5 linked regions of the Canis lupus familiaris genome follow. The main gene of each other region encodes a partner of the protein of the gene in region 3 in a complex. Links are inferred from orthologs where the notes say so. Each region holds a gene or a part of one and is shown on either strand. Other genes may lie near its edges.

Region 1 (6,364 bases), on a different chromosome or scaffold from region 3:
ACAATGTCAAATAGAAGTCACAGGAATAGAGGCTCCTGGTGGTTCGGTTGGTTAAACATCTGCCTTCAGCTCAAGTCATGATTTCAGGGTCCTGGGACTGAGCCCCAAGTTGGGCTACCTGGTCAGCAGGGAGCCTCCTTCTCCCTCTCCTCACCCCCTGCTCATGTTCTCTCTCTCTCTCTCAAATAAATAAATAAAATCTTAAAAAAAAAAAAAGAAGAAGAAGAAGAAGTGGCAAGAGTAAATATCCTTTTCTTATTCTTGATCTTAGGGGAAATGTATCCAGTCTTTCATCATTAAGTATGATGTGAGCTGTGAGTTTTTCATAAATGGCCTTTATAAGGTGAAAGAAATTCCCTTCTAGGGGTGCCTGAGTGGCTCAGTCAGTCTAGCATCTGAGTCTTGATTTCAGCTCAAGTCTTGATTTCAGGGTCATGGGATTGAGTCCTGCATTGGGCTCTGTGCTCAGCGTGGAGACTGCTTGTCCCTCTCCCTCTGCTCCTTCCCCAGCTTGCACCCACTCTCATGCTCTCTCTCTCTCTAGAATAAATAGATACAAATCTTAAAAAAAAAAAATCCCTTTTTATACCTAGATGTTGACGGTTTTCATCAGAAAGGGTAGCAGATTTTGTGAAGTACTTTTTGTTGCATCTATGGAAACAATCATGTAGTTTTTGTCTTTTATTCTATTAATATGACATATTACATTAACTGATTTCCAGATTTTAAACTAATCTTGCAATTTCTGGACAAATTCCACTTGGTTATGGTGTATAATCCTTTTTGTATGTTGCGAAAACTTGGTCTGCTAGTTATTTTGTTAAGGAGTTTTACATCTATATTCATAAGAGATAATGGTGTGTAGTTTTCTTTGAGTGTCTGATTTGGTATCGGGGAATGCTGACTTCACAAAATGAGCTGGGAAGTGTCTGGATTATTATTACCATTTGAACTTTCTCTAGCATCTCCCATCTTGTCCCAGAGACTCCCTCCAGGTTTTGCTCCACATCTCTGCACTTTTCACAGCAAAGCTTCTCCCAAGAGGTATATACATATACAAACTATGCTTCTTCACCCTCTCAAGCTTGGCTGCTGCCCCAACCATTTCACTGACATCATTTATAAAGTTCCCTTTTGTGTTTTATACTTACCAAAGCCAATGATTATTTCTTAGGCCTCATTTTGCTCAATTTCTCAGAAACATGCACCATGGGTGAGACCCTCCTCCCACTTTCTTGGCATTCTAGATTTTCCTAGAATCCAGGCTTTTTCTCAGTCAATAAGCAAGACCCACTTCCTTCTTTAAAGTTTGCAATGGAGGATCCCTGGGTGGCTCAGTGGTTTAGCGCGGGCCTTCGGCCCAGGGCGTGATCCTGGAGTCCCAGGATCGAGTCCCACATCGGGCTCCCTGCATGGAGCCTGCTTCTCCCTCTGCCTATGTCTCTGCTTCTCTCTATATATATCTCATGAATAAATAAATAAATAAATCTTAAAAAAAAAAATAAAGTTTGCAATGTCTGGGACACCTGGGTGACTCAGCAGTTGAACTTCTGCCTTCAGCTCATGATCCCACGGTCCTGGGATTGAGTCCCATATCATCTGCTTCTCCCTCTGCCTGTCTCTGCCTCTCTCTCTGGGTCTCTCATAAATAAATAAATAAAATCTTAAAAAAAAAAAGTTTGCAATGTCTGCAAATTTGAACATGCAGATAAATCACCCAGGATCTTGTTAAAATGAAGATTTTGGTTCAGCAAGTCTGGGGTAGAGCTAAAGACCTTACACATCCAACAGGCTTCCAAATGATGCTGCTGCTGCTGGTCTGGGAATCACACTTTGAGCAGTAAAATTGCAAATAGTCCCACATTCTGGATTTGTCTGAGGTGTCTTTCAATTTGTTCCTCTCTTCTCTATATCATTTTAGGCAGCACTAATGGTTCTCAAACTTTGTTCATATTAGAATCATCTAGGGAGCTTTTAAAAATCCCTATGCTCAGGCCATATACCCTGTATATAATAAATCAAAGTATCTAAAATGTAGGGCCCAGGCATCAGCATTTTAAAGCATTCCAGGGGCACCTGGGTGGCTCAGTCAGTTAAGCATTTACCTGGCCATCTCAAACTTCATTTGCTTCAGAATGATATCTCTGCTTAAAATTGTTCTTCCGGGATCCCTGGGTGGCGCAGTGGTTTGGCGCCTGCCTTTGGCCCAGGGCGCGATCCTGGAGACCCGGGATCGAATCCCACATCGGGCTCCCGGTGCATGGAGCCTGCTTCTCCCTCTGCCTGTGTCTCTGCCTCTCTCTCTCTCTGTGTGTGTGTGGCTATCGTAAATAAATAAAAATTAAAAAAAAATAAATAAATAAAATTGTTCTTCCCCTCCTACCCAATGACACCACCATTCCTAGTCATTCAGGCCACAGACCTAGGAGTCATTTCTGAGTCCACTATGTCCCTCATTCAATTCACCAAGTAGTCCTGATGAGTACTTCAAATCCATCCATTTCTCTCCATCTGCAAGCCACCACCTCAATCCATGATCTTTCCTTAATACCTACCCAGCCTTCCCACCAGTCAATTCTCCCTGCCATGGCCAGAGGGAGCTTTTTAGAATGTAAACTAAATTCAGTGTTCTCTGACTAGAAATTGCTAGTGTTACACTTAAAATATTCAGTCCGGGTCTACCTCTCAGTCAGGGTCTCCAAACTCAACTCTTCTTCTTTTTTTTTTTTTAAAGATTTTATTTATTTATTTGAGAGAGAGTACATGAGCAGGGAGAGGAGCTAAGGGAGAAGCCAACCCCCAACGGAGCAGGGAGCCCAATCAGGAGCTCCAGCCCAGGTCTTCAGGATCATGACCTGAGCGGAAGGCAGATACTTAACCGACTGAGCCACCCAGGTGCCCCTTCTCCAAACTCAACTCATTACTGGCAGCTCTAGCTACACTGTTTCTCAAACAAGCTAAATTTATTCTAGTTTCAGAGCCTTTGCATTTGCTTTTCCCTCTGTTTGGAAATTTCTCCCCCCAGATCAGTCCACACCTGTCTCTGGTCACTCAGGTCTATATTCAAAGGAGAGGCTTCCCCTGACCACAACTCCACTCCCAATTTAAAGCCCCTATCGCCCTGATGAATGAATTACTAGCAATTATTAACATCTGAAATCACCTGTTCCCTCCACTCCTGACTTTTTTAACGCCTGGCTCCCCCAGGAGATCGGAGACTGTCTTCTTCATTGCTGTGTTTCCAGCACCTGGACAGTGCCTGGTATATGGTAGGTGCCTAACAGGTATCAGTTGAAGGGGGGAGAAGAGCTAAATTTCTACAAAACGTCTATGATCTAGAAGTCTGAACCCCATGGCAGGGAGTACTTACAGCAGCTCTGGGCTGGCTGTCAGGATTCTGGGTTCCTTAGGAGAAACGGACTGACGTGGGTTCGAATTCCAGCCTAGCTGCCAACTAGCGGCGTGACTTCGGGAGAGGACCTTAACCTCTCTGGGCCTCAGCTGTCTCATCTGCAAATAGGAGATTAGGGATGTGGGGACGTGAGTACATTGAAAGCGTCCTTTCCCAGCACGTCCCAGCCCCGCACCTCAAAAGGTCATGGTGCCCTGACCCTGCAGCTGCGTCGCCCTGGGCCGCTCTCCCGCCCTGCCGGCCCAGAACCGGTACCCCCTGGACCCAGCAGCTCGAGCTCACTTTCCCCACGCGCGACCTACATACTCACGCGGCAAGCCGCGGACTCCGGCCCGGCTCTGTCTTAACTCTGGGCGCCGCCATCTTACCCAGATTGCTTCCAGGTCACGGGCCACCAGGGAGCAGCAAATCAAGAACGCGGGTTTAGAGAGATCCCGCCCCAAATGGAGGAGCACCAATAGGAAAGCAGAAAGACCTTGGTCCCGCCTCATACCGGGCCAGGTCCCACCCCCATTACCGCCAGAGAGCTGGGCGGTGGGGAGAGTGAGTGGACCGTTCCCGCTGGGAGGCTGGACTTGGGGGCCCTGTGAATCCACCTGGAGGCTCCGGTTTTCCCACCTGAAATGTGGGAATGAGATATTAAAGGTAGAAGTGATGAGATTCCTTCATTTGTTCAACTAACCTTTACTGAGCGCTAACCGTGTGCTAGGCGCAGGGTTTTCTTACTTTTTTTTTTTTTTTTTTTTTTAAGATTTAATTTATTAATGAGAGGCACAGGGAGAGGGAGAAGCAGGCTCCACGCCGGGAGCCCGATGCGGGACTCCCGGGATCACGCCCTGGGCCGAAGGCAAACGCTCAAGCGCTGAGCCACCAGGCGTCCCTGCTAGGCGCAGTTTTAAGCGCTGTGAGGATACAGCTCTGACAGCAGAGAAGGAGACAAGTTCTGCTCATTGGCTCCGTGATTCTGGGCTAGTGCCTAACTCATCTGTGCCCAGGGTTTTCTCACCCTGGGCCAATTATAATAACTTCAGGGGATTTTTTTGAAGTTTGAGCTAATCTATGCCGAACAGCCATGTAACTGCCATTGTTACGGGGAATTCACCCTAACACCTCCCTTCACCTACCTCACTGGGAGGGCAAAGAGCCTGGTTTGACACCTTGGGCCAACCTCACTGAGGCCCTAGGGTCCAGTGGGGTTCTGAGTGTTTTTGTGATTTTGCCCTGTGGCCCCAGGTGTGCACGTATGTGTGTACTGTACTGCTGGGATGTGGAGATTTTCGTGAATTTTTATAGCATTTCAGAACTGAGCAAAGGTGTGTAGGTATGTGTGTGGCAGTGTGACTGTGGGTCAGGAATGGGCCCCATGTATGTCAGTGGGAAGCAAGCCTGTCTGGGCATGGGTGTATGTGGGTCCTTGTGTGTCCACGTGTCAGTGGCTGCATGTGCACCTGTAATTGTACAGTCTTCTGGGTGTCTGTGATTCTGTGCATGTGGGAGGGTGTGGACTTTGTCCCACAACTCTGAGGGGCTAAGCAGTAGGTGTGTCAACATTTCTGTGACCATTCCCATGCCATAATGTGTATGCGATTGCACTTGAACACTGGAAAGTCATTGACTGTGATGCCCTGTGTGTTCCCAACTTGTGGATGAACCATCAGTGGTGTCCACTGTCAAGACACACATGCAAGTGTGACACCTCACCCCTGTCTGTGTGCGACTGTATTAGTTTCTGACTCTGTATATGCATGACTGTGCTCATGACACCCTGTGTATTTCTGTGTGTGACTCTGTGTCCCAGCAATGGCATTACAGGTCTGCCTATGCCAAGCCTGGGACGGTCTCTGATGTGTGATTGTTTGCAACTGTTGGTATGTGTCTCTAACACCCTGTGTGTCTCTAACTTGTATGGGTGTGCTTGTCCCCCACCACTGGCATGTCAGTGACCGTACAGGACACTGTCTTTGTGCCTCAGTATCAGTCGATTCTGTGACTACGGGGCCATGTCCATGACAATGGTATGTCTCTATGCCTCTCTGTATGACTGCGCACCCACCTTAGTGGGGACTGTCACTGTGTTTGTAGCATCCCATGTGTATCTCTGTGTGTGACTGTGTGTCCCCAACCCCCAGGGTCTTCACTTGGCTAGCTGTATCCTTAGGTGTGTGTGAGAGATGCAGTGTCTGGATCTCTGGATTTGTACTTCTCTTCCTCTGTGTGCAACAGACCTGTGATCCCAGATAATCCCCTTGCCTCGGGTCATGGCAACATTGCCGATAGTGCAGCTGGCATTCTCCCACTTGCTGTGGGACCTGGGCAGTTGGGCAGAGGCAGTACCAGGGGCGTGCACTTGGCCACAGCACAATGGCCACCCCAGGCCATCCCTATGGCACCCCCCTGCCCCATGGTTCAGCCTTCTGACTTCATCTTGCACCGAATGAGCCCCTGGGCACTCAGCCAGCGTGTATTCAGCAACCTCTGGCTGGCCTAGGAGTGCTTTGGACTCAAGCAAATGCCTCCAGTGGGACCTCAGGTAGTCCGGGGGCAGGGCCGAAAGGGCGACGGCAAGAGAGGGGTGAGGCCTAACTTGCCCTTGCTGGTGTGTATTCATCCTCCTCTCCCTGGGCATCAGCACTCTCAGCAGGTACAACCCGCTTTCCTCGGAGACAATCAGCATTTACATCAGCCTTGCTCTGTAAGAGTCAATGGGGCCCGGGTTGGGGAGGGGGACATTCTCCACTCCTGCCCCTGCTCTGCACCCCTGGTGGTGTGGGGAGCTGGCAGCATGGGGAAGTGGGATGGACACTGCTGAGGATGGCCAGGTGATGAAGGGACCTCTTCAGGAAGGTTCTCAGATTGAAGCTGGCCCAGCTAAGGAGACTCATTGGCCAGCCTGTTGTCTCTCTCTATCCAGGCAAGGCAGAGGTTGGCCCAGGGCCTTGACCCCTCCATGCC
Region 2 (6,443 bases), on a different chromosome or scaffold from region 3:
CTTAAAAAATTATCTTCTGAGCCTGATTTTTGATATATGATAAACCAAAGAAATTAAATCAAGTCCAAATTAAGCCAACCTAATATGCTGCCATTTTTCTCAGCTCATGATATTTACACATATTCACATCTTTCATTAAAAAGGGAACCATGGACTCCTTATTAAAATCTAATTTTTCTGTAGTAAAACAATAAAAATCACCACCCACTTAGACCATCTGCAATCATTTTCAGCAGCTTATTTTCCTTCCCATAAAGAATGCAGACCTCACCAAATCACAGGGTGACAAGCAGGCTCCCTTGCCAGGCACTCTAAGTACGTCATTACCAGGATGTTCACTCAACTTACAAAGTAATAGAAGATTCATCACATAAAAATCATTCTGCTCCCCACTGACAGAGCTCTATATATAAAGACTAATTTTAGTGTTAGTGGCAAATTGATCTAAAGTTCAGACCTCAAATTTAAATGCTCCTACAGAAGTTTTGAAGGCATTGTCACCATTTTAGTTGTCACAAGTCCTGTGGTATATCCAGCACTGCAGCTACACTCAAGAACCAACTACTGCCATAATACAAAGGTGCAGAGCACCACTTCCAAAAACAACATGACAGGGTTATGGACCCTTGGGTGAACATGGGACGTAGTCCTGGAGATTCGGGAAAACAAAATTCAAATTGTCGATTGTTAAATAACAATTGTTTTTTCTACATAAACACAGACATTCGGTTTATTAGAAGACACGATACACATGAGTTCTTTGTATCTTACAAATCACAAGGACGTGCAAGCAAAGAGAATCATCAAGGTTGCAAACTGCTCTTCATACTGTCACTCCACCTGGCACACTAACCGAGATGATGGCTGTAAAGTTAGGGACCACTCACCACAAGGGACCATGACAGCACCTCTGACAAACTGGATCATTCACTCTGAAATCAACCAACCTTTGGAGTTAAGCTAAAGAGCCTTCTGGATTATAGCTGCAGCATCCTGCTTCTTGCCCCTTCCCCATCACCTCCAAGTTGCCTTCTCTCACTTAACAAGAGGACCACCCTTCAGCCGCAAGGTGCCCAAGGAAGAGAGGCAGAAGGGGATCAGGGGCCTGAACACCAAGGAGTGGCTATCAATAAGCATCCCTTCAGGGTTTGCCTAGCAGACCTATGGGGCTTCTGGGTGGCTCAGTTGCTAAGCAGTGGACTCCTGATTTCAGCTTCCACCATGATCTCAGGGTTGTGAGATGAAGTCTCACAGTGGAGCCTGCTTAAGATTCTCTCTCTCCCTATTCCTCTGCCCTCCCCATCTCTCCCTCACTCTCCCCCCCCCAACTCCATGGAAAGAAGGAAAAAAAGAGTAAAAAGAAACCAAACGAAAGGCACTGGAGGCCTCGAAATCCGAAATTCAGAAAGCTCTGCCCCAGGAAAACAAACTCCCAGACCAACCCGCCCACCAGAATTATCTGCTTAGAGGTTGTGTCCTCCATTCAGGAACCATGGGCGGGAGAGAAAATCGGTAACCTTTTGATGAGTAGATTCCAGAGCCTAATAAAAAGAACGAAAGGTGATTTTCCAGCCCCAGAAGACACAAGCTACTTTAGGGATGAGCTTTGAACGGGTGCCCTTGTGGCGACCCGCAGGTGCAGACCAGGGATGTGCACCTGCCCTCGCAGGTGGAGCGCATCCCGCAGGAGGCGCTGCTCCAGGGCTCCCAGCTCCCCACAGCGCCTACAACTGAATGAAGGGAAGGAGGAAGCCTGTTCCCCGGGTGGGGGGGAGCTAGGCTACTTGTATCAGGACGTGGGGTCTCCGCATGTTTCCAAGTTGAGGGGACGTCCTCCCGCGGTTCTCTGGACCTCTCCTGCACTAAGAACAGCCGAGAGTGAAATTAGTGGGGGAAGGTGCCGGGTACCGCCCCGCCCCGCGGCCCCCGACAGTCACCTGAACCCCGCGGGCCCGGGGGCCTCCCCGGCCAGCCCCGGGGCCGCGCCGACGCCGCCCGGCGGCCAATGCAGCGCCAGGAGGCCGCGCCAGTGCTGCAGCAGGAGTCGGCCGCGTCCCGTCGCCATGGAGACCCGGCGGGAGCGCCCGAGGCGGAGCGACGACGGAGGCAGGAGCGCGCCGCCCCACGCCACGCCCACTCGACGCCGGCGCGCGTGCGCAGGGGCGGGACGGAGGGCGGCCCGCCCTTCCGCCGGCTCGAGGAGCGGTTCTGGAAACTTCCGGGCCCTGCTTCTTCCCACGCCCCGCGGCCTGATGCCGAGGTCGCCGCGTGGCAAGCGGGCCGCCGAGTTTCGGTCCCGGGTGGGGGCACTGCCGCAACCTCGTCTCTCCCCAGCCGCTGGCTTTGGGGAAGTTTGTGCTGCCTCCCGTCTGGTGGCCTTGGGAAGAAACTGAAACACAGGCTACATCATTTCCCCACAAGCAACAGCAGAGCCATAGTCAGACTGAGAATTTCGCAGTTTACAGTCCTCTCGAAGGGCTGCAAGAACACCCAGTTCGTAATCGCTAATTTGATTGCCGCCCGTTGAGCGATCGCCCCGCCCACCCTGGCGCCAAATAGGTGGAGCGCATGCGCAAGGAACTCTGGAAGGTGGCGGAAAGGCCACGCGCTGTCTGGCCGCCTTGCACTGTGGGAGTTGTAGTCCCGGTGCCTTTCCCGCTGCGGTAGCTCTGCGAGGAGTGAGGGCCTCGGACTACTGTTCCCAGGACTCCCCGAGGTGTCCCAGGTTACTTTGCAGAGGCATGGCGGGTAGTGTGTGAATGTCAATACGGCAGGTAATTAAATCACTTTAATTCTAGTAGAAAGAGCGCAGAAGGGAAGAAGAGGTGGACACGGCTTCTTTCGGGAGCTAACTTTTTTGCCGAACAAGCCGTGCAGAATCACCGATGTGACTGTGTAGCGCTGAGGACACTCTGGCTGGGCGTGTATTGGGTGGTGAAGCTTTGCGGTTCCCCGCTGGCACCTTTGTAAAGCGGAGCGGTTTTCTGTGATCATGATTTGTACTTTCTTACGAGCTGCGCGGTGTGCGGAGAAGCTGTGCAGGTCGTCAGGGAAGCCGTTGTTTCCGCCACACTTCGTGCTTAACAGAGCTCGCTTGAAGACCGCGTCGGGTTTGAGCTGGGGTCTGCGAGAGCAAAAGAAAGCGGTACGACCTGAGAGTATCCTTGGAGTCACCCAGAAAACCATCTGGACGCAGAGGCAGAGCCCCCAGAGGGCAGGAGACGACGGCAGCAAACAAGTGTCCGTGCACAGCCAGAGAGGGGAACCCGTCGTCTCAACGTCACAGAAAGGTAACGGGAGTGATGAGTCTATCAGCAAACGTGGCGAGAGCGAGCAGGGTCCCTCCTTCGCACAAGTTCAGGGCTAAAGGTAGAAAAACGGTTCACGCAAATTAAAAGGTAGGACCGTTCAACACAGTGCAGAGTTTGAGACTATAGACCCACAGACTTCTTTTCTTCACAGACTTGAACTCGGATTTCAAAGTTGCTTTTTAGGTGACTTTGTTGAGTTGTGGCGAGAAAATGTTTCCCAGCTTTTATTACAACTTAACCGTTGTTGAGTACTTGATAGTAAGTCAGTAGACTTCACAGATGTGGTTTACCACAGTTGAGTTTCCTGTTCCCTCCCTCAAACATTAAAATTCTGTGTGTGAGGCACACTTCCCCAGTTTCACACAACGGAAAATTAAAGCCACATCTTCTAATCTTCATTTCCTAGTACCCAGGTCATTGCTCTTTAGAACAGCCGTTCACCAGTAGTTCTTGAGCTTCCATTTCCTCTGCGTACACTTGAGCAGATGCTAACGGGTGTGCCAGAGAGTTCCTGTACACAAACAGATGCACTCAATGAGGAGGAGGTAGGTACAGTGTGAAACAATGAAAACATGGTAGTTTGCTGCAAAGAGTACCAGAGAGCACAAAATAGATAGAGTAATTGGGTAGAATAAATAAAAGAAATACTATTGAGGCATAATCCGTGGGGACCTACTCAACGTAGGTCAGCCCAACACTGCTCCTGAATGACTGCGACGCCCAGATGTTGAGTTAGACTCTTCACGCTACAGAATTAAAGGTGTTCCAAACCGTTTACCTCCAAGTGACACGAGAAGTGATAGAAAGAACATATGTAATACGGAAGGCACAATGTCTTTCTGTCAGGGAAAGTCAGGTTTTCACAGATGAGATGATGAATTTAACGTTTATTGTTTATTTCTTCATTTCACGGTAATTTGTGGAAAAATAAGTAAAAAGGAAGCAAAGAGTTCAGACATCTTGATTTTACCATGCAGAGATGACTTTTGTTAATATTTTGCTCTATGTTATTTCCGTGCATATACTTTTTTTTTAGTGCATATATACTTTTTAACATTAACAAAAAAACCTGTATCCTAGCAATTGTTTTGTAATCTGTTGAATATGTAAAATACATGTTCATTCATTCATAATAGCCTGAACAGAGCTGTGAGGGATGATTAAAAGTTCAGCATGAATGAACAACCTGTATGCAGAGGGCAGAGGCAGAGACTGTCAAACAGCATGTGTCAGGTTGTCGCTCCAGCAATAGGGCTGCTTACGCTGCAGACGGGTCCTGCTGCAGAGTCCTGTCCTGATCTGGACCCCATTCAAAGGCAACAGCCTTCCTGGTGACTCAGCGAATGAGTGGGAGCAGTATTCCCAAATGTGGGATATGCTGCCCACAGCGTCCAAAGGAACCTATCACACACCACACTAGGGTATACAAGATGCAGTAGTTTCTTTTATTTGAGATGGAGTGTCTTAGCATGCCCCATGCAGTATACCCCTAAGGGTTTTGCTCATGTGGTTGGTGAGCTCTGGATCTGTTTTTTGGCCTCATCCCCCACATTTGGAGTACCTGTGTTTACCAAGCTTCCTGACACACATGCCACTTGTTACTTTGGGCTCTGACGAATATGATGGCATAAATAGAATGGACTATTGTGATGTCTTGCAAAATGTCCACAACAGCATTGTCCAAATAAAACTTTTCGCAGAGACAGAGATGTTCTGTACGTATGAGGTCTCTACATGTGGCTGTTCAGCACTTGAAATGTTGCTAGTGTGATTGAGGGACTGAGTGTTTAATTTTAAGTTAACGTAACTTTAAAATAACACTCACATAGCCATGTATGGTGTGTGGTTACTCTACAGGACAGCCAAAGTCCAGAAGGCTCAGGTCCCTAACAATCACATTGTAACACATACCTAACAAATCCTAGGTGAGACCATACATAGACGTTGTTGTCATTTTGTGTTCCAACAAGCACTACCTGTTGGTAGCAGGTGCTTCGTATTCTAAGTTTATCCGATTATCAGCTCTGGCCAAGCAAATTCCTTTTCTGAATTCCATTCTGCCAGTGGGGGCAGCCTGGTGGGAAGGTGACTGGAAGAGTTGAGGCCTATGCTGATCCCTTGGACTACAGTTAACAAAGCAAACACTTCATCTGTGAACAGAATGTGACCGGCACTGCCAAATCTGTAACATGTTTTCATGCCGAGGGCCTGGGGCACTTGTTTCAAGTGTTTTGTCATCTTAGAAAGTAAAGAAGTGTTAAAATTATACTACTAAATAAAATTAAAATACAAATTCCTTGGCCCAGAATTCTGCTGAGGTTCTTTTGAAAACTTTCTTTAGGTGGTTCTGATTTGTGGGGAGGCTTGAAAGCAGCTGTTCCAGCATGCATGCAGACCCCCCCGTAGGGTCCTGGGTCCACATCTCACCCTCCAGAAGTGCTGAAGCCATGCGCGTTCCTGCCCATCTGGCACACCTCTAACTCAGTGGTGCTTTCTGTTTACAGTGAAAGAAGCTGGAAGAGATTTTACCTATTTGATAGTGGTGCTTATTGGAATCACCGTCACAGGTTGATCACAGCAAGTATAATGTCTGTCCCTAAAATCTGTTTAATTAAACATTTGTCTTGCTCTTGATTTGCTTGATCTTCTTTTTCTATAATTCGCAGGTGGCTTGTTTTACACAATTTTCAAAGAACTTTTTTCTTCATCCAGTCCTAATAAGATCTATGGGAAAGCCTTAGAAAAATGCAGATCACACCCCGAGGTGAGTCTTCCAGATGCAGTCACACACACTCTGAAGATCCGGAGAAGATGCCAGGGTCGAGGGACAGAACTCACATATTGGTTCTGAGACTAGTGACGTTTATAGGATAATAAAGTCATAACGGTTGGATTGTGATTATGTTATTAGCTCTTTGTTCTGTACTTGAAATGCCTTAAGACCACCTAAAGGTCTGTGTAGCGATGTGTTTCCATCCTAATTATACAAGAGAGTCACTTATTGTCATAGATGTTAAATGCTTAGATCTTCCCAGAGTTTTAAACTCATGCGGTAAGTTTCTAGTCTTATAAAAAAGCATAGTGACCCCATGATCATAATGATAATTCTTGACACTAAAGGCACATTATGCA
Region 3 (6,420 bases):
CTCCGCGGTTTAGCACTGGCCTTCAGCCAAGGGCGTGATCCTGAAGACCTGGGATCGAGTCCCAAGTCAGGCTCCCTGCATGGAGCCTGCTTCTCCCTCTGCTTGTGTCTCTGCCTCTCTCTGTCTCTCATGAATAAATAAATAAAATCTTTAAAAGACAAAAAAAACAGGTAATGACAAGTGCTGGCGACAACATGAAAGGATTAGAACCTTCATATACCGCCAATCAGAATATAACAGAATAGACACTTTGGAAAAGTCTGGCAGTTCCTCAAAATGTGAAACATAGAGTTACCATATGACTGAGCAATTCTAATCTTAGGTATATACCCAAGAGAAATGAAAACATGATGATGTTTACACAAAAACCTGGACATGAACGTTCCTAGCAGCGGTATTCATAATGGCCAATACTCAAAGGTCTACCAACGGACCAATGGATAAAGGGTAGTATATCCATACAATGAGATACTATTTAGCAGTAAAATGGAATGAAGCGCTGATACAAGTTACAACATGCCTGCATAGGCATATATATAGACAGCAGATTAGTACCTGCATAGGGGTAGGAGCTCGGGGGAGTAGGGGAAAAAATCAGAAGATTCCTCATGGGTCAAGGCTTCTTTCTGGGGTGATGAAAATACTTTAAAATTGATTACAGACTGCACAACTTTGTAAATATACTAAAACTCAATGTATATTTTAAACAGGTAAATGCTACAGGTATGTGAACTATTATCTCAATTAAGCTGTTACTTCTTAAAAGGATTTTCTTTCTAGCGTATCCCTAGCTCTTAGGACAGTCCCTGGCAATTATAGGAATTCAATAAACTGACAAAATGGAAAAATAAACTTCAAAAGGCAGGTAAACCATTGCAAAACTTTGTCACACCCAAAGTAATGAAATTGCTACATACTGTAGCTGGAGCATATGGTGTGTGTGTTGGCGTATTTTCCATCAAAGGAGACTGAAAAACTCAGCATCAGCAAGGAGACCTTGAAAGGTCTGGAAGCCGGGCTAAGGAATCCGCATTGCCCTGAATCAACAGGAAGGCCGGTAAGATTGTGAGCATGGGAATAACACGATCAGATGGATTTTCTATGTGCAGAGTTTAAGCAGAGGTTTGTTAACTTTTTTTTTTTTTTTTTAGATTTTATTTATTCACAAGAATACACAGAGAGGAGAGGCAGAGACACAGGCAGAGGGAGAAGCAGGCTCCATGCAGGGAGCCCGACCTAGCACTGGATCCTGGGACCCCGGGATCACGTCCTGGGCCAAAGGCAGATGCTCAACCACTGAGCCACCTGGGCTGCCCGGTTTGTTACTTCTATGCAAATATGAAATAGAGGGGGAAAAAAGTGCCTTAGAAATAAAGCACAAGTAAGAATGAGGAACATTCAAGGAACAAGTATCAAAGTGTAAGAATCTACGGATTTTTAATATTATACACGACACACCGACTGACGCTCACACATGCTCATATGTCCTTGTCTCCAACAATCTAGTCATTTCTACTGTCAGAACCCTGCATGGAATTCAAGAGTGATGGGGACTAAAGTCACCATGACCAACTGTCAGAAAATTCTTCTCTATGATCATCGAGGCAGGGTCTTCCTCACAGGGTTGTAACTCAGGACCATCAACAAAGTGCCCGATTCCACCGCTCAGAGGGGACGCCCCACTCTTCACAAATGTGCTCTCAGGTACGCAGGGCCGGGCAGGGTAGGGCAAGGTAGGGTAGGGCCGGGTAGGGTAGGACAGGGTAGGGTAGGGCAGGGCCATCCAAGCCGGGCAGGGTAGAGTAGGGTAGAGTAGGGCAGGGCCAGGTAGGGCCAGGTAGGGCAGGGGAGGGGAGGGCCAGGCAGGGTAGGGCAAGGTAGGGCAGGGCCGACTGGGCCTGGCAGGGTAGAGTAGGGCAGGGTAGGGTAGGGCAGCGCAGTGTAGGGCAGGGCCACGCAGAGTAGGGTAGGGTAGGGTAGGACCGGGTAGGGTAGAGCAGCGCAGTGTAGGGCAGGGCCACGCAGGGTAGAGTAGGGTAGGGTAGGACCGGGTAGGGTAGGGCAGCACAGTGTAGGGCAGGACCACGCAGAGTAGGGTAGGACCGGGTAGGGTAGAGCAGCGCAGTGTAGGGCAGGGCCACGCAGGGTAGATAGAGTAGGGTAGGGTAGGACCGGGTAGGGTAGGGCAGCGCAGTGTAGGGCAGGGCCACGCAGAGTAGGGTAGGGTAGGGTAGGGTAGGACCGGGTAGGGTAGGGCGGCGCAGTGTAGGGCAGGGCCACGCAGGGTAGGGTAGGGTAGGGTAGGGTAGGACCGGGTAGGGTAGGGCGGCGCAGTGTAGGGCAGGGCCACGCAGGGTAGGGTAGGGTAGGGTAGGGTAGGACCGGGTAGGGTAGGGCAGCGCAGTGTAGGGCAGGGCCACGCAGAGTAGGGTAGGGTAGGGTAGGGTAGGACCGGGTAGGGTAGGGCGGCGCAGTGTAGGGCAGGGCCACGCAGGGTAGGGTAGGGTAGGGTAGGGTAGGACCGGGTAGGGTAGGGCGGCGCAGTGTAGGGCAGGGCCACGCAGAGTAGGGTAGGGTAGGGTAGGGTAGGACCGGGTAGGGTAGGGCGGCGCAGTGTAGGGCAGGGCCACGCAGGGTAGGGTAGGGTAGGGTAGGGTAGGACCGGGTAGGGTAGGGCAGCGCAGTGTAGGGCAGGGCCACGCAGAGTAGGGTAGGGTAGGGTAGGGTAGGACCGGGTAGGGTAGGGCGGCGCAGTGTAGGGCAGGGCCACGCAGGGTAGGGTAGGGTAGGGTAGGGTAGGACCGGGTAGGGTAGGGCGGCGCAGTGTAGGGCAGGGCCACGCAGAGTAGGGTAGGGTAGGGTAGGGTAGGACCGGGTAGGGTAGGGCAGCGCAGTGTAGGGCAGGGCCACGCAGAGTAGGGTAGGGTACGGTAGGGTAGGACCGGGTAGGGTAGGGCAGCGCAGTGTAGGGCAGGGCCACGCAGGGTAGGGTAGGGTAGGGTAGGGTAGGACCGGGTAGGGTAGGGCAGCGCAGTGTAGGGCAGGGCCACGCAGAGTAGGGTAGGGTACGGTAGGGTAGGACCGGGTAGGGTAGGGCGGCGCAGTGTAGGGCAGGGCCAGCCGGGCAGGGTAGAGTAGGGTAGAGTAGGGTAGGGCCAGGCAGGGTAGGGCAGGGTAGGGCAGCGCAGGGTAGGGTAGGACAGGGCTAGGTAGGGCAGGGTAGGGCAGGGCAGGGTAGGGCAGCTTAGGGCGGGGCAGGGCCACCTGCTGGCGGCCCCGAACCCCCGAACCCCGGGGCAGGCGGGCGAGGGGGGCACCCTGCAGCCCCTGGCAGCCTCCTGCAGCACCCGGCAGCCCCCTGCAGCCTCCTAGGGCGCTGCGCCCACAGGGGCCCCGACACCACGCAGGCAGCAGGCGGGTTGCCCCCGCGACCAAGCCCCGGGAGGAGACCCCCGCCGGCAGCCCCGTCGCGCACACACACACACACACACACACACACACACACGCAACCGTGCAGGCTGCGGCGACAAACGTCTCCGAGGGTGAAAGGAACGCGAGGCTCGGAGCCGCGGGGGCGCTGACCTTTCCGGGCCGCAACCGCGCGCCGCAGGAAGCGCGCGCCTGCCTTCCTTCCGGGGGCGGAAGTGCGGGTACGCGCGCCCCCAGGCCGGCCCGCCCCGCGAGGAGCAGCGGAGACTTCCGGCGCGGCGTCCCCGCGGGCTAGAGCGTCCGGACGCGCCGGGGCGGGGGCGGGGGCGGGGGCGGGGGCGGGGCACGCCGGGCCAGGTCGGAGTCGCGGGCCGAGGCCGCCGCGGACGCTCGGCCCCGCCCGGGGAGCGAGGTGGGCCCCGCAGAGCCCGCCCTTCTGTCCCGCCCCGCGCCGCGCCGCTGCGGCAGCCCCCGCGGAGCCCACTCGCCGCCTTCGCCTGACACACGGCAGCACGACAGTCTTATCCATCCAATCGCTGCGAAATGCCTACGGCGCTCCAGGGAATGCGAGGGCAAGAAGAAGAAGAAGAAAAAAAAAGAAAAACGTAGACGACTTGAGTTAAGTAGCGCGAGGAACGGTAACAGCATTTTTACCCGGTGCGTTTGTTCCAAGGATGTAAAGCGCTCAGGTGGCGTCTGGGCCTCCGCGGTCGTACGCCGCAGCCGTGCCCACCGCCCTGTTGGTCGTCCTGCCGTCACCGCGTAGGAGGATGGCGGCCTGGGAAGCCCTCGGCTGAGGAAGAATTCTTGAGAGGACTTCCGTGCAAAAGAGGTGGGTTTGGGTTTTTTTTTTTTTTTTTAAGATTTTACTTATTTATTCATAGACACAGAGAGAGAGAGAGACCCAGGCCGAGGGAGAAGCAGGCTCCACGCAGGAGCCCGACGCGGGACTCGATCCCGTGACCCCGGGGTCACGACCTGGGCCGAAGGCGGGTGCTTAACCGCTGAGCCCCCCGGGGATCCCCAAGAGGTGGTTTTCATTAAACGTCTACTGACAGGACCTGTGGACAGAAAGCTGCATGGGGTCGTGAGGGGTAGTAATTATACACCTTCAACTTGGGGTGGGGGGCGATAGTCTCTAAGTCTGTAAGTTTCAAAGGAATTCTGGAAACAAGGTTGCCAGGACCTTGAAGGCGTTAGTTATTGTTGGGAAAAGGTCATATATTATTGTCTAATAAACCCTTAGGGCGCCCGGGTGGCTCTGCGGTTTAGCGCCACCTTCCGCCCAGGTCGTGACCCCGGGGTCGTGGGATCGAGTCCCGCATCAGGCTCCCTGCGTAGAGCCTGCTTCTCCCTCTGCCTGTGTCTCTGCGTGTTGTGTGTGTGTGTCTCTCATGAATAAACAAATAAAATCTTAAAAAAAAAAGATAAAAAAAGAAAACATTGATCATAAGACACCCCACCCCCCCCACCCCCCCGCCAGATACGTATCCATAGGTCCTGTGCTTGGAAGATGGTTGCTAACATGTATCTTGACTCCAGAATAAAAATAAAGGAAGTTTCCAAAGGAATTTTTATATGTTAAAGAAGACCTGCAGGGTCCTGGCGGGTCAGGCCAAGGTTGCCCTTTTGCCCTTAGCAAAGCCAACATGGGGGCCGCTGAGCCCGTAGAAGAATGTCACTCCGCCCGTTTCAAGGACTCGTCAATGGGCTGCAAGTAGGGAGGGAATTAATTTTCCTTCTGCCTTTGTTTCCCACATGATTATCGCCACTATTACCATCATTATTGACTTTTTTTTCTTTTCACGTAAGTTTGAAGTCCAGGTACCTTTCCTCCAAAAAAGTAGGGTCTCGGCATTGGTGGGTCCCCTAAATTTGATGTGTTACATGACCGGACTAGTCAAGTGTAATCTCATGTCGTTTAAACCTGGAGCTCACCCTCTTTCTGAAGTTCTTATGGGGATATCTAATACGTTTCCTTATTTTCTGATAGAGGTGAAGATAAAATGAGTTTAGGTAGCGCTAGTAATGTTGTAAGTGCCCAAAATTATTAGCTATTGTTGTTGAGACAGGGATTCTACTTCTTAGAGCCACAAGTATCCTTATCTGGATTCTCTCTCTCTCTCTCTCTCTCTCTCTCTCTCTCTTTCTGTCTTTCCTATATATAAGGAAAGGATCTGTTTTGCTACCTGTTAACTTCTAAGGATCCAGGGCAGGGGTAGGAGGTGGAGAGATGAGAGACGGTTGACTAGAGTGCTGTCAGTTGTGGGGTGATATTAAGTGGTCAAATGGTTGCTTTAAGAAATGCACTTAACAGCAACAGGATGGAACCACCGTGTCTAGTGTCTCTCTCAGCAGCAGCCTAGAACTATGAAACTAGAGTTTCTACGTATGGTAGTTCATATACACGAAAGTATCATTTTCTGCTTATTAATATTCTAACTAAGTGATTTTATTGTTTGGAGTTGGGTCTTTTAGATTTTCTATCATTACAATCATGTCATTGAGATGATGACAAAATCCTTTCCAAATTTTATACCACTAATTTGTCATATCTAACTGTATTGGCTAGTTATTTCCAATAAAAATATTTAATAATAGTGAACATAGTATAGGCTTCTTTGTCTTATTCTACCTTTAACGGGACATCTCTAGAACTTTCCCATTAAGTATGCTACTGGCTTGGGAGACTAAGGTAAATCTTTTATCTTTTATCATATTAAGGAAGTGCCCAGCTACTAAGAGAATAGGAAAAATTTTGACACAAAGCATTGAGCATGCCCCTACATCTTGTCATAAAAGTAGGTATAAACTAGATAATATTTGCCTCAGAGACACTAATGAAATTCACATTAGCTAGGTTGGAATCAGTGTTCTTTCTTAATCTTAAATACTATCATCATGAAATTGAATACTGACTAGGTTGTTTATAAGAAATCTCCCTGTGGAAAGGAGAGAAAATGTGTGGGTAATAGGGAGACAGAACATGAG
Region 4 (6,285 bases), on a different chromosome or scaffold from region 3:
CTCAGGCAGTTAAGCATCTGACTCTTGATTTCGACTCAGGTCATGATCTGCGGGTTGAGATCGAGCCCTACATTGGACTCCCCACTCTGGTGGGGGTGGGGGGAGTCTGCTTGTCTCCCTCTCCCTCTGCCCCTCCCCCTGCTGTCTTTCAAATAAAAAAATCTTTAAATAAATAGATAAATAGATAAATGAATGAATGAATGAAGAAAGAAAGAAAGAAAGAAAGAAAGAAAGAAAGAAAGAAAGAGAAAGAAAGAAAGAAAGAAAGAAAGAAAGAAAGAAAGAAAGAAAGAAAGACAGACAGACAGACAGGCACAAATATAAGAAATATACCAGGAAAGTCTAACCAAAACAATGCTGGTAATTCTAATATTGATATGATAGACCTGGAGAGGAACAGGAGGGATAAAGAGGACCCTTTATACAATGATAATTGGAAAAAAGTCTCCAGAACATTCTCTATCGTGTGCACCTAATAATATGGCCTGAGGATACCTAAGTAACAGAATTAAGAAGCTTGGTCTGGAATCGGTGCACACAGAACTCTGTACCCAACAATGAGATATACCCACTTCAAGCACAGAAGGAACACTTCCATAATTGACCTGTATTAAGCCCACAGAGCAAATCCTGACCAATATCAAGGAATCAAAATCATATAGTCCTCATTCTTTAACCACAAATGCAAGTAAAGTAGAAATTGGCAACAAAAGAGCAACCAGAGAAAATTAGCAACTGTGACTGCTGGGTAGGGAATCAGGATTTGGGCTTGGCAGAAGCAGGGAGACCAGCTCAGAGTCTAAGGAGCGGGTGAAGGAAATGGGTTGGATGACGGTGGGGACAGTGAGACGGACAGAAGCGCTCTGACCATCTTGTACAGTCACGTATACCCGACACCTAACGCAGTACCAGGTACACAGCCGTTGCTAAAATCCAGGTTATAAAAAATGCAAAGACTAGTCCAAGGTGCTGAAATGAATTGCAGCTCCATCCTCCCTACAGACAGGCCAGGCTTCCATGGCCCGGTCACCAATGCCTCACCTGCCTGGACCCCAGGTTAGTGACAGGTCAGCCAGCCGGGCTTAAATCTCCTTACATCCTTGCCTTATAGCTCCTCTTTTTTTTTTTTTTTTAAGATTTTATTTATTTGACAGAGAGAGAGAGTGTGTGTTCACGCATACAAACACACAAGCAGGGGGAGCGGCAGGCAGAGAGAGGGAGAAGCTTGGAGCCCCATGTGGGGCTCAATCCCAGGACCCCAGGACCCCAGCCCAAGCCAAAGGTAGATCCTCAACCCACTAAGCCACCCAGGTGCCCTGGTTCCTTATTTTTTTAAACATTTTTAGGGGATGCCTAATATAAAACTATACTAGATGTTTCCATACCTGTGATCTCATTTAATACACCCAACACCTATAGATTAAGGCCTGCAAAGTCCACTGCTACAGATGAAGAAACAGACTGGGCTCAGGCAGGTTACGTAACTCACCTTAAGACCCTTATCTTGCAAGGGATTTAGACCCTCACCTGCCCTGCTTCCCTTCTCACCGCCTCAGAAACCAAATGGTGCCCTCGTGTAGTGAAAGAGCACATTGGTTCCAATCCCAGGTCTGACCCATCTGCTGTGGGTCCTTGTACAAGTCACTTAACTGTCCCAGACCTCAGTGTGTCCACGTATAAAATGTGGGTGATGATCACACAGCAGCTACAACAAATGGTTATGAAAACTATGTGGGTTAATATATATATGAGGTGCTGGGAAGAGAGGCAGACATAAACTCTCAAAAAACACTAGCTGTTTAGTATTTACCTGTTGAAAGAATCAGCTATGAGTCTCAAATAAGAGTCGGCCAATTAACTAAAACTGAGCCAGAAAGGTGGGCAGGCATAGACTGACTGCTCTCGAGTTAAAATGCAGACATTTTAGGCACACTCAGTAAACATGCACCTAAAAGCCCTGATTTTGTCTCAAGCAACTCAGACAACCACAGATTCTAGGGTATCCCTATGAGACTATTGTCAGAGGGATCCCTGGGTGGCTCAGCGGTTTAGCACCTGCCTTCGGCCCAGGGCATGATCCTGGGGTCCCGGGATCGAGTCCTGCATCAGGGTCCCTGCCTGCATGGAGCCTGCTTCTCCCTCTGCCTGTGTCTCTGCCGTTCTCTCTGTGTCTCTCATGAATAAATAAATATTTGAAAAAAAAGTTAAAAAAAAAAAAAAGACTTGCCAGGACGCGTGGCACAAGTCCACGCCTTCATCATCTGATCTAGCATGTCTCAAGCTTGGTACCATGCACACCTGGGCTGGGTAATCTAGGTCATGGGGGGCTCCCCTGTGCGCTGCGGAGGTTTAGCAGCATCCCTGGCCTCTCTCCACTGGATGCCAGTAGCACACTCACACTACCCCACTCCACCCCCAGCTGTGACAAGCAAAAATGTCTCCAGATGGAACCAAATGTCCCCTGGGGGACAAAAGCATCCCCAGCTGAGAGGCACTGCGTTTGTCTTCCTGGCAGACACCTTTCCAGTGGGATCTGGAGCAGAGCCCCTTGTCCCAAGTTCAATCCTAGATGCCCTAGTAAGAAAACAGCCTGGGGCAGGATCGGGTCAGGATGACGGAACCAGACCACGCGGGGCTTCAAGCGCCCCCCCGTTTATCCTCAGGCACACGGGTAGGTGGACGCAGGCTGGGAGGCAGCATGCAGAGGCCACCTCGGTCCTGGGTGATGAAAGAAGCTCCAGGGCAATGCGGGTGTGTGCTTAAAATGCTCTGCCTCCAGAAACCAAATGTAGCATTTGTAACGGGCAGAGCATTTACACAGAGCTGCTGCCTTCACATCGCCAAGCTCTCAGCCTCTGCTAATGGTCTCCAGGGGCAGGGCTGGCCCTCTTCCATCTTCAAGATGATTCAGGTTTCCTGGAGAACAAAATGAGCCTCTAATGCCTAATATTTTCTCTCTGACAGATGGTTTCAGATGTATCAAAGTGCTAATCCTCGCTGAGGTATAGGTCTCCAGGAAGGAGAGTTTGGCTTTTAGGATGATAGAACTTGAATGATTAAGGAGGAAAATTACTCCCGGGGTATTGGGCATTGTCATGTGAGCAACCCGCTTTTAAAATGAAGGAAGACAGCAGGAGCTGAAAAAAAGATGTGGGGAAAAACTCAAAACACCCAGGTTTAACAGTGTAGGTCTGAAACATTTCCACTCAAAGCTGTCCCTGGGAGTGGCAACGAAGGGCCGTAAAGACACCTTCAGGCTCAGGATGATCAGGGCTCCATCTGCCTCCCTCCAGTATCACCAGCCCCGCCTTCCGGGGAGGGAAGACCTGCCTCGCAGCTCACTGGCTGTGCGACCTTGGGCCTGTCGCACGACCTCTCGGAGCCTCAGTGTTCCCGCCTGTCAAATGGGCATGACGACGACCTCAAAGCGACGCCGTGGGCGTCAGAAGTGGCAACGCTTGGGGCTCCTGCCTCGGGCTGTGGGGGGGGGGGTGACCCCGCGGCAGGGCCTGCGGCTCTGCTCCCCGCCCCCCCCCACTCAGTGTGTGTGTCTTTCGTGAATAAATAAATACATCTTTAAAAAAAAAAGTGCCAACGCTCGTTTGGCTGGCACGTGAGCGTCCGGCCCCTGCTCCCCGAGAGCGCGGACAGGTAAGCGCTGCGGACCACGACGAGGCCACCTGGGAGTCTCCACGGAGGCCAAACGGGTCTCACGTTAGCGACGACCGGGCAAGTCAGGAGGGCGCCCGGGGGGAGGCGCGGGGTCTCGCGGCCGCTCGGCGCAGGGCTCGGCCCGGCCCGCCTGCCCCCCGCGCCCAGCTCCTCACCGCCCCGAGCCGGGCGCCCCGAGGCCGGGCCCCCGCGGGGTCACAGGGCACTCACGGTACTCCTCCGGCAGCAGCAGGGGCCGGAAGTAGATGGGGTAGAAGGCGGCGCCCAGCAGGGAGATGAAGCCGCCGAAGATGAGCGCCGTGCGCAGGTTCGGGGACATGGCGCTGGGCCCGGGCTGCCCGCACCCCGCGAGACCCCGCGAGACCCCGCGCGCCGGGCCGTGACCCCGCTCGGAAGAGGCGGAGCGGCTTTCGCTTCCGGGCCTTGGGGGCGGGGCCAGGGCACGGGGGCGGGGCCTGCGGGTGGGCCGGCTCGGGGCGGGGCCTGCGTGGTGGGCGGGTCGGGGGCGGGGCCTGCAGAGTGGGAGGGACGGGCCCGTCGGGGTGGGCGGAGCCTGGGGTGGGACCTGCGGGTGGGCGGGGCCGGAGGCGGGGCCTACAGCGTGGACGGGGCGGGGCCTGTGGGTGGGCGGGGCCTCGGAGCGGCGGCCGCGGTGCTGGGGGCTGGGCCGGCCGAGAGGGACTCTTGCTCCCCTGGGCGGTGCACACCCTGTTCCAACCCCCGCCCTGCCCGCGGCCCGGCCCCCCCTCCGCTGCTCCCCCCGCCATTCTCCGGACCTCTTGGGTCACCCTTTCCCCTCGACCAGCCGCGCTTTCCCCTTCTCCCCACCCTTATCTGATTTCGGTGACTTTCCGCCCCGAGCTGCGTGCTGTCCGCGGCTCGCTGATTCAGTCCCCCCGGCTGTGGGCCCATTTTACAGGTGAGGGAAGCGCGGCTTCACGAGTGACCGCGCCTCCTGGAGGGCTGCTGGAGGGGGTGAGGGGCCCGGGGCCGCGCGCCCGCCCCGGATGGCCTGCAGGGGGCGTCTAACCCGAGCACCGGGACTACGGGATCAGGACTAGGGGGGAGGAGTCTCGTGTCAACGTCGGGACGGCAAGTAGATCCGTCCTGCCTCCGCCTGCCCGCTCCGTTCCCTCTGCTGCACGTCTGGGTTGCGAATGAGGATGGGGAAGGAGTCGGATCCGGGCAAGGCGGGGAGCCCGCGGCCAGTCCCAGTGATGGGACCTTGGGGCTGTGCCTTACTGCCTGGGGTGGGGCCGCTGAGGTTGGACGTGCTCCTCCCCTTCCTAGGGTCGCCGTCCTCCGTCCTTCCTGGGGGTAGGCGGCGCTGTGGGGGCAGGCGAGGTGCCCAGGGGTACGGAGCGGCGGAGATCAAGGTTTCTTGGGCCTTCACTCAACCCTTTATGAATAAGGATGCTACCAGCGGCCCGGGCCGGGAGCAAGAGGCTAGTCATCCGGACCCCGGCGGTATTATTTAGTCTGCAGAGACGTACGGTCTTTCAGCACAGGTGTCCTCTCCGTGGAGCGTTGTCGCGGAGCCAAGCTACCGTCTGCCTCCGAGGTTCCGCGAGCAGATAAATCAGGTGTTGGATCCGTCGGCAGATTTATGGACCCTCTGCCGTACCCCAAACACCAGGCAAAGTGCTCCGAGGGACGCAAAGATGAATAAGCCGTGACCCTTTGCTCCCCGGGATCCTGCCACGTGGATAGAGACAGGACAGATACAGAAAAAGATGACTGAGGAGGCGGCGCAGCTTGTTGCGGATGAGTGATAGGGTCCTGCGGCCGCGGGACTTCCAGGAGGAAGACAGATGACTACAGGGGTTGGCAGCAGCTCCTCGGGGCTTGCGGGGGCTTGTTAGGGTGAGAACAGAGGACTCCTCCAGCAGAGAGGGGAGCTGGGATGCATATGCTTTGTGTCCCGTGATATAAAACCCCAGGTGAGCGCGCCTTTGTCATGTTAGCAACCGGGAGGCCACTTGTCTTCCTGTTAATAGCACCCGAGCATCTTGGCAAACCACTCCTCTCCCATTCAGTCGAGGAGGTAAACTGGGCTTCTCCTCTGCCCCACCCCCACCCCAATGATTTTTTTTTTTTTTTCCAGCTCTGAGAGGTCAGGGGATCGCCAAGAGTGACCAAGCTGCCACACCACAGGGATTGATTGGGACAGGGCCCAGGCCTGGTCGTCCAGCGAAGCCGCATCCTCCTGGCTGCATGACCTCACCCACGTTGAGCCAACCATAGTGTCTCCCAGCTGCTGGAAATCTGGATTTGAGCTTGAGGGGATCAGACGCTGGGGTCACTGGGCACCACCATATGGAGACTGAGCGTGAGGACAGTACAGCAGAAGCAAAGCCGAGAGATGGAGAGAAATCAGGTGCTGACATTACCTTTGAGCCCCTGGAGCGGGCTGTGCCTGGAAAAGGAGCTGCCCTTGGACTTCTCAGTGATAGGAGCCAATGAAGTTCCCTTTTCGCTGAAGCCAGTTTGACTTATTTTGTTTTGTTTTGTTGTTTGTTTGTTTTTGTTTACAACAGGAGTTCCAGATGAAGTCACCGCGAGTGGGATTTCGTTTCCTTGACAGATCCACGGGCTGCAAGTCAAGGATTACTC
Region 5 (5,680 bases), on a different chromosome or scaffold from region 3:
ATCTTTAAAAAGATTTTATTTATTTGAAAGAGAGAGAGAGAGAGAGAGAGAGAGAGAGAGAAAGTGAGTCCACGAGCAGGGGGAGAGGCAGGCAGAGGGAGACGGAGAAGCAGACTCCTAAGCAGGGAGCTCGATGAAACAATGACGACCAATGATGACAAGGGGCTCAATCCCAGGACCCAGAGCTAATGATCTGAGCTGAAGGCAGACACCCAACCAACTGAGCCACCCAGGTGCCTCTAAAAAAAAAAAATCTTTAAAAAAAAGAAGGAAAAAAAATGACAAATAGCCAGTTTAAAAATGGGCAAAGGAGGGGGTACCCAGCTGGCTCAGTCAGGGGGAGTGTTGCCACTCTTGATCTCAGTCATGAGTTGGAGCCACACGAGAGGTGTAGAGATTACAAAAAAAAAAAAAAAAAAAAAAAAAGGCTTTATAAAAAAAATAGGCCAAAGGATTTCAAAATACATTTCTCCAAAGAAGATGTATAAATGGCCAGTAGGCACATGGAAAGATGCTCAACCTGGTCAGTCACTAGGTAAATGTAAGCCAAACCATAATGAGATACCACTTCACACTCCCTGGGATGGCTATAATTTTAAAAATGCACAATAACAAGCACTGGTGAGAGGACGTGGAGGAATTGGACCCTTCCTTCTACTCCGCCATGGGCAATGAAACATGGTGCAGCCACTGTGGGAAACAGTCCGGCAGTTCCTCAAAAAATTAAACATACAGTTACCATATGATCCAGCAATGCTGCTTCTAGCTGTATATACCCAAAAGACCTGAAAACATACAGTTCACACAAGGACTTGTATATGAATATTCACAGTAGCATTACTGATAATAGTCCCCATGTGTCAACAGTCCAAACGTCCATGAGCTCATGAACAGACAAATATGGTGTGTCCCTACAATGGAATATTATTCAGCTACAGAAAGGAATGGCAAGTGCTACAACGTGGATTAACCTTGAAAACATTATGCTAAGAGAAAGAAGCCAGACACAGAAGATTGCATATAGATTCCATTTACATGAAATGTTCAAAATAGGCAAATCCACAGAAACAAAGTAAAGTAGCAATTGCCAAAGACTGGGAAATGAGAAGATTTCTTTCGGGGGATGAAAATGTTCCAGAATTAGGCCACAGTGATAGTTGTACAACATAGTGAATAAACTAAATAATGCTGAGTACATTTAAAAATTGTGTATTTATGTGATGGGAGTTATAGGTCAATTAAACAAAATAATAATCTAACTCCAAGAAAAAAATTAGGGAAGGGCTTCAGGACCCAGGGTTGTGCATTCAGAGAACCTGAGCTGCTTCAGTGCCCACTGGTCTGCTTTCTTTCACTCATCGGGAAGAGGAATCCTTTCCCTGCTCAAGGCAAAGGAAGCCTCACAGATGACACACTCCCTCTTCTGGGAGCCAACTTTTCCATTCTGTTAATTTCCCATCGAAGAACTCTGCACAGTCATCTGGCAAGCACGCACTGGTCAGCTACAGGCAGGGATGGGACAGGAAGTTGGGGCCCACAAGCTGTACCATGAATCCACACGCTGTCCTCACAGGGGCTGCTTTCAAAACGCACCTTAAACCCGCCTCCGACTTCTCCAAGGACATTTTCGATGGGCACCTTGGTGTTTTCAAAATGGACCTCGCAAGCTGAAAAAGATGAAATTGAAAGCCTTATGTAATGAGTACAGACTACTTGCACTTGATCAATAGGCATGAAATGTAATTCATTCATTCATTCAACTCATTCTCCAGCTACTGAAAGACAAAGGTCCTGTCCACATGGAGCTCATATTTTGCTAGGGACATGATGGATGTTCTAATACTACAAATAGAAATAGAGTGGGGACAGAGGTCAGAGAGAGAGTAAATAGTATTTTTGTTAAGGGCTTCCATCAGGCTTTTCTAAGAGGACACTCAGCAGAAGTTTGAAGGAGGAGCACAAGCCAGAGGAAGAACCATGAAAGTGGATGGCACAGACTTTCTGAGGTCCCTGGACTCAACAGGAGGATGGATCCCACTTAACTCAGATGTAGTCACACCCTGCACTATGCCTCTGTGGAAGCAAACTGCCTTTCCCTGCCTTGTCCCTCCAGCTGTCACCAGGGACACAGAACCCACCTGACACGAGCCGTGGCCTTCCCAGTGCTGGGTGGTCTGGCTCAGGCCCCCAGACGCTCCTGTGATTTGCTATGAGAACAAGCCCTAGCACGGTACACAAATGCAGCAGATCGGGATCCAACCACAGCCCGGAGCAGGCCACCCAGCACCTGCAGACTGAGGGTGACAAAGGCTCACCCTCTCAGATAAGCGCTGGGGTGGATCCTCAGACAGGGTGACAGTGGCAGACCTTGAAGTAAGGAAGCGCTTAGTGTGCAGAGGCAGGCAGAGAGGGGAAAGGTGCCAGTGGCAAGGACAGAGGCAGGAGGCAATGGGGACTTTTGCACCATGTTTTCTGTAGCAACATGTCTTCACATGCTGTCACATCAAGACTGCAACTCCTGGCAACTTAACACTGGAGTAAAGGGAGACTCAGGACAAAGGTCATGGCTCAAAAGGAGCCAAACAGCAAGCAAGCTAGGTGTGAGCAACCAGGTCTGCTGACTATTCTATTCCAATAGCTTGGTTGTGAAATATAATGAAATCATTTCGGTGGCTGCTGGCTCCTTTTTTATGACACATGGGCTACAGGGCCAGGCCCTTGTCCTAGTGGCTCTCATTCTTTCACAGGCTACTTTGTGTGGGGAGGACCCTCCTCATTGACCTCACCTGGGCCACTCGATCCACTCTTTGTGGGGCTGCTGCATCCCAGGGGCAGCACCTACCCTGACTTCACTATGGACACTGCCCTGGCAGTGGTGCAGGGCTACCACCCTGCTCTCCCCCTCACCTGGGTCACACTGACCATCTTCTCACCAGCACACCAGGCTCTTTATCTTGGGCCTTTGAGAACACTCTTTCCTCTGCTGGAATGTTCTACGTATGAATAAGCAGAACAGTCTGGTGGTACAACCTGCTTCCATGTGCATGAAAGCACTGTACAGGCATCCAAACACTCCTTTCCCAGGTCACATCGCTATGTGCGTTATCACCTCTTTGCAATAGGTGAGGAAAAGGAAGCACAGGAAAGTAAACTAGCTTGTCTGAAGTCACGGAGTTTCTTGGAGCCAAGTCAGTGCTCAGGGTCCTCTGACCCCATCGAACCAGGCCGAGGTAGCAAATATTGCCATACAGAACCCAGGATCTCAAGACGGGATGGCAAACAGAAGCGGGTCTGGAGGCACCAAGGGCAGCAGACAGTCCCCTGCAGCACAGATACTCCACGATCTGAACTAGGAGCCCCAAGAGGCAGAGTCTTGTGAGGACTCTGTGACAGTGCTGGTCAGGACAAGAGCCACTTACAGGACACCAGCCTCAAGGGGACCAAGTGCTGTCCAGGAGCTGCAGGTGGGCCTGGGGGGGGGGGGGGGGGGGGGGGGGTATGAGGGAGAGCAAAAGGCAGGAGGTTCTAGGTAGGAAAGATACGGTGTCCTGCAGTGAAGTGTTTACCTCGGATACCCTCTGCCTCCTTGGTGTCCACTATTGCCTCCCCCATGGGACAAAGTGCTCCACAAGGCTGCAATGAGCTCACATGGAGATTAGTATGCCTGCTGCATGGAGGGGGATACAAGCAACATGTGTTGATAGAGTAAATTAGCTTCAATGAGCTCCTCCACACTGCCATGGAGTCACCATAGCATTCTTAATGTGATTTTGCTGACATGCTTATGTGGAACCAAAACTATTTACATCTCATTTTATCTTGAATTTGGATTGGGCTGAGGGGTGCCCCCCCGGGTGCCCCCTCCCCCCGCTACTTACTGTTGGAGCCACGTATGCCTAATTTATCCTCGGGTTTCCCATTAGTGACTCCACCAAAGTCTCTCTCTACTATGAGTGCTGTGATTTTGTCTTTTACGGAGCCGTCAGAATCCACCACCTGTGTCTTTGCAAACACAGTAAAAACATTGGCGATTCCTCCATTGGTGATCCAGATCTGAGCAAAGAAAGAAAAAGGGGTTTGGAGAAAACTGGACTGTCATACACCACCTCTCAGCTCCACCCTTTCCCAAGAGACACCCCAGCTGCTTGTCAAACCTCAGGCCAGAAGCGTAAAGCTCTTGGTGCTGGAAAAGCCAAGCCTGTGTGGACAGAAGACAGGGGCTCACCCAGTCTCCCCAGATCAAGGATTTCCCCAAGAGGCACAATGTGTGTGTGTGTGCACAGACGTGAAACCAATGGTACGGAGACAGTCCACGCTCTTAGAATCAAGGAGTCACGTGTCCTCAAGAAAGCAAAGCAGGCAGGCAGGAATAAGGAGACAGGAAGGGTGGGGGGGTGGGGGGGAGATAAAGGGATTTTTCAACAAACTGGGATGTATGAAACTTATTTGGCTCTTGATTCAAGCAAATTGTTGGAAAATACAAAGGTATGAGACACCAGGGAAACTGGAATGCTGACTACACAAAGAAATGATAAATTTTTAAATGTGTTAATGGCATTTTGACTTTGTTTTTTTAAGTCTTATCCTGTAGAGATGTGTTGAAACTCTCAGGGATGTGATGCAGGGATGCTGAGCAAGGAAACAAGGTGGGTTAGGAGCTAGTTAACTGCTGAAGCTGGTGCCAGCTGCGTGCAAGTTCATTACACTAACCTTTTCTATGTATTTGAAAGTTTGTGTAATAAATTAAAAGAACACACAACAGTAGCTCAGGGAGGTAGCTGATTCTGCATCAGCATGTAGACTCTGGAGCCAGAATGCCTTGCTTCCAACTTGCTTCCAATCCTGGTTCTGCCACTGAGCAGACATAGGATGCTTGCAAGACAAGACACTTTACTTCTCTGAGCCAGTATCTTCTTCCAAAAAAAGAGAATAGCATCTGGGTGCCTGGATAGCTCAGTTGGTGAAGAATCTGCCTTGGGCTCAGGTCATGATCCCAGGATTCTGGGATCGAGCTCCTGCATCAGGCTCCCTACTCAGTGGGGAGTCTACTTCTCCCTCGGTCCTTCCCCCACAGCTTGTGCACTCTCTCAAATAAATAAATAAAATCTATAAAAAAAGAGAGAGAGAGTAACATCCATCTGAGAGCTGCCTCAACAGCATACAAGAGATGATGTGCATGTGCTTTAGGGCCCAAGGCGTGTGGAGTGGTCAATACGCAGTGCAGGCCATAGCTAAGATGCTCGGCAGGCCACAGACAACTACCTTGGAGCCATTGAGGATGTAGTGCTTCTTATCCTCACTCAGCGTGGCCCTGGTCTTGATGGAGGCCGCATCACTGCCACTGTGGGAACAGAAACACGCAGTTGAGGAGAGCGATGCCAGGGATGGAGAACAGTTCTGGGGCTAAAAATGGAGGGTTTGGTACTTTAACACAGGGGTTGGCAAACTTTTAAAAATAAAGGGCCAGATAATAAATGTATTCAGCTTTGCAGGCTATGGGATGTCTGCCTGCCTGCTCAACCCTGCCACTGTGGATAGGGGGCCAAACACCCTGTGAACAAATAGTGTGCTCTAGTAAGACCTTATTTATGAAGACAAGCAGGAGGCTGGATCTGAGGGTCCCTGCTTCATCACACGAAAGAGCGGCAGTGTAAACAACCTGGCCTTAGGCTGAAACCTG

Evidence for each region.
Region 1: COA1 (region 3) and ECSIT share a complex: the UniProt entries of both Homo sapiens proteins name them as parts of the mitochondrial complex. The link is inferred for Canis lupus familiaris from reciprocal best matches to the Homo sapiens genes COA1 and ECSIT.
Region 2: COA1 (region 3) and TIMM21 share a complex: the UniProt entries of both Homo sapiens proteins name them as parts of the MITRAC (mitochondrial translation regulation assembly intermediate of cytochrome c oxidase complex) complex. The link is inferred for Canis lupus familiaris from reciprocal best matches to the Homo sapiens genes COA1 and TIMM21.
Region 4: COA1 (region 3) and SMIM20 share a complex: the UniProt entries of both Homo sapiens proteins name them as parts of the MITRAC (mitochondrial translation regulation assembly intermediate of cytochrome c oxidase complex) complex. The link is inferred for Canis lupus familiaris from reciprocal best matches to the Homo sapiens genes COA1 and SMIM20.
Region 5: COA1 (region 3) and ACAD9 share a complex: the UniProt entries of both Homo sapiens proteins name them as parts of the mitochondrial complex. The link is inferred for Canis lupus familiaris from reciprocal best matches to the Homo sapiens genes COA1 and ACAD9.

The regions. Positions count from the first base shown.
Region 1 is NC_049241.1:50,244,278-50,250,641, reverse strand, and holds the start of ECSIT (evolutionarily conserved signaling intermediate in Toll pathway, mitochondrial), read right to left. Parts: upstream 3,872-6,364; 5' UTR 3,723-3,871; exon of another isoform or gene 3,588-3,722; intron 3,511-3,587; 5' UTR 3,371-3,510; intron 1-3,370.
Region 2 is NC_049222.1:5,151,966-5,158,408, reverse strand, and holds the start of TIMM21 (mitochondrial import inner membrane translocase subunit Tim21), read left to right. Parts: upstream 1-2,217; 5' UTR 2,218-2,992; coding exon 2,993-3,290; intron 3,291-5,815; coding exon 5,816-5,878; intron 5,879-5,977; coding exon 5,978-6,075; intron 6,076-6,443. Other genes in the region: FBXO15 (F-box only protein 15), read right to left, coding at 1,938-2,065. UniProt on the Homo sapiens protein: Participates in the translocation of transit peptide-containing proteins across the mitochondrial inner membrane.
Region 3 is NC_049239.1:6,614,028-6,620,447, reverse strand, and holds the start of COA1 (cytochrome c oxidase assembly factor 1 homolog), read right to left. Parts: upstream 4,103-6,420; 5' UTR 4,084-4,102; exon of another isoform or gene 3,848-4,083; intron 3,668-3,847; exon of another isoform or gene 3,583-3,667; intron 1,705-3,582; coding exon of another isoform or gene 1,693-1,704; exon of another isoform or gene 1,678-1,692; intron 1-1,677. UniProt on the Homo sapiens protein: Component of the MITRAC (mitochondrial translation regulation assembly intermediate of cytochrome c oxidase complex) complex, that regulates cytochrome c oxidase assembly.
Region 4 is NC_049224.1:85,086,124-85,092,408, forward strand, and holds the start of SMIM20 (small integral membrane protein 20), read right to left. Parts: upstream 4,069-6,285; 5' UTR 3,992-4,068; coding exon 3,883-3,991; intron 1-3,882.
Region 5 is NC_049241.1:3,201,417-3,207,096, forward strand, and holds part of ACAD9 (complex I assembly factor ACAD9, mitochondrial), read right to left. Parts: intron 5,342-5,680; coding exon 5,263-5,341; intron 4,054-5,262; coding exon 3,879-4,053; intron 1,668-3,878; coding exon 1,594-1,667; intron 1-1,593. UniProt on the Homo sapiens protein: As part of the MCIA complex, primarily participates in the assembly of the mitochondrial complex I and therefore plays a role in oxidative phosphorylation.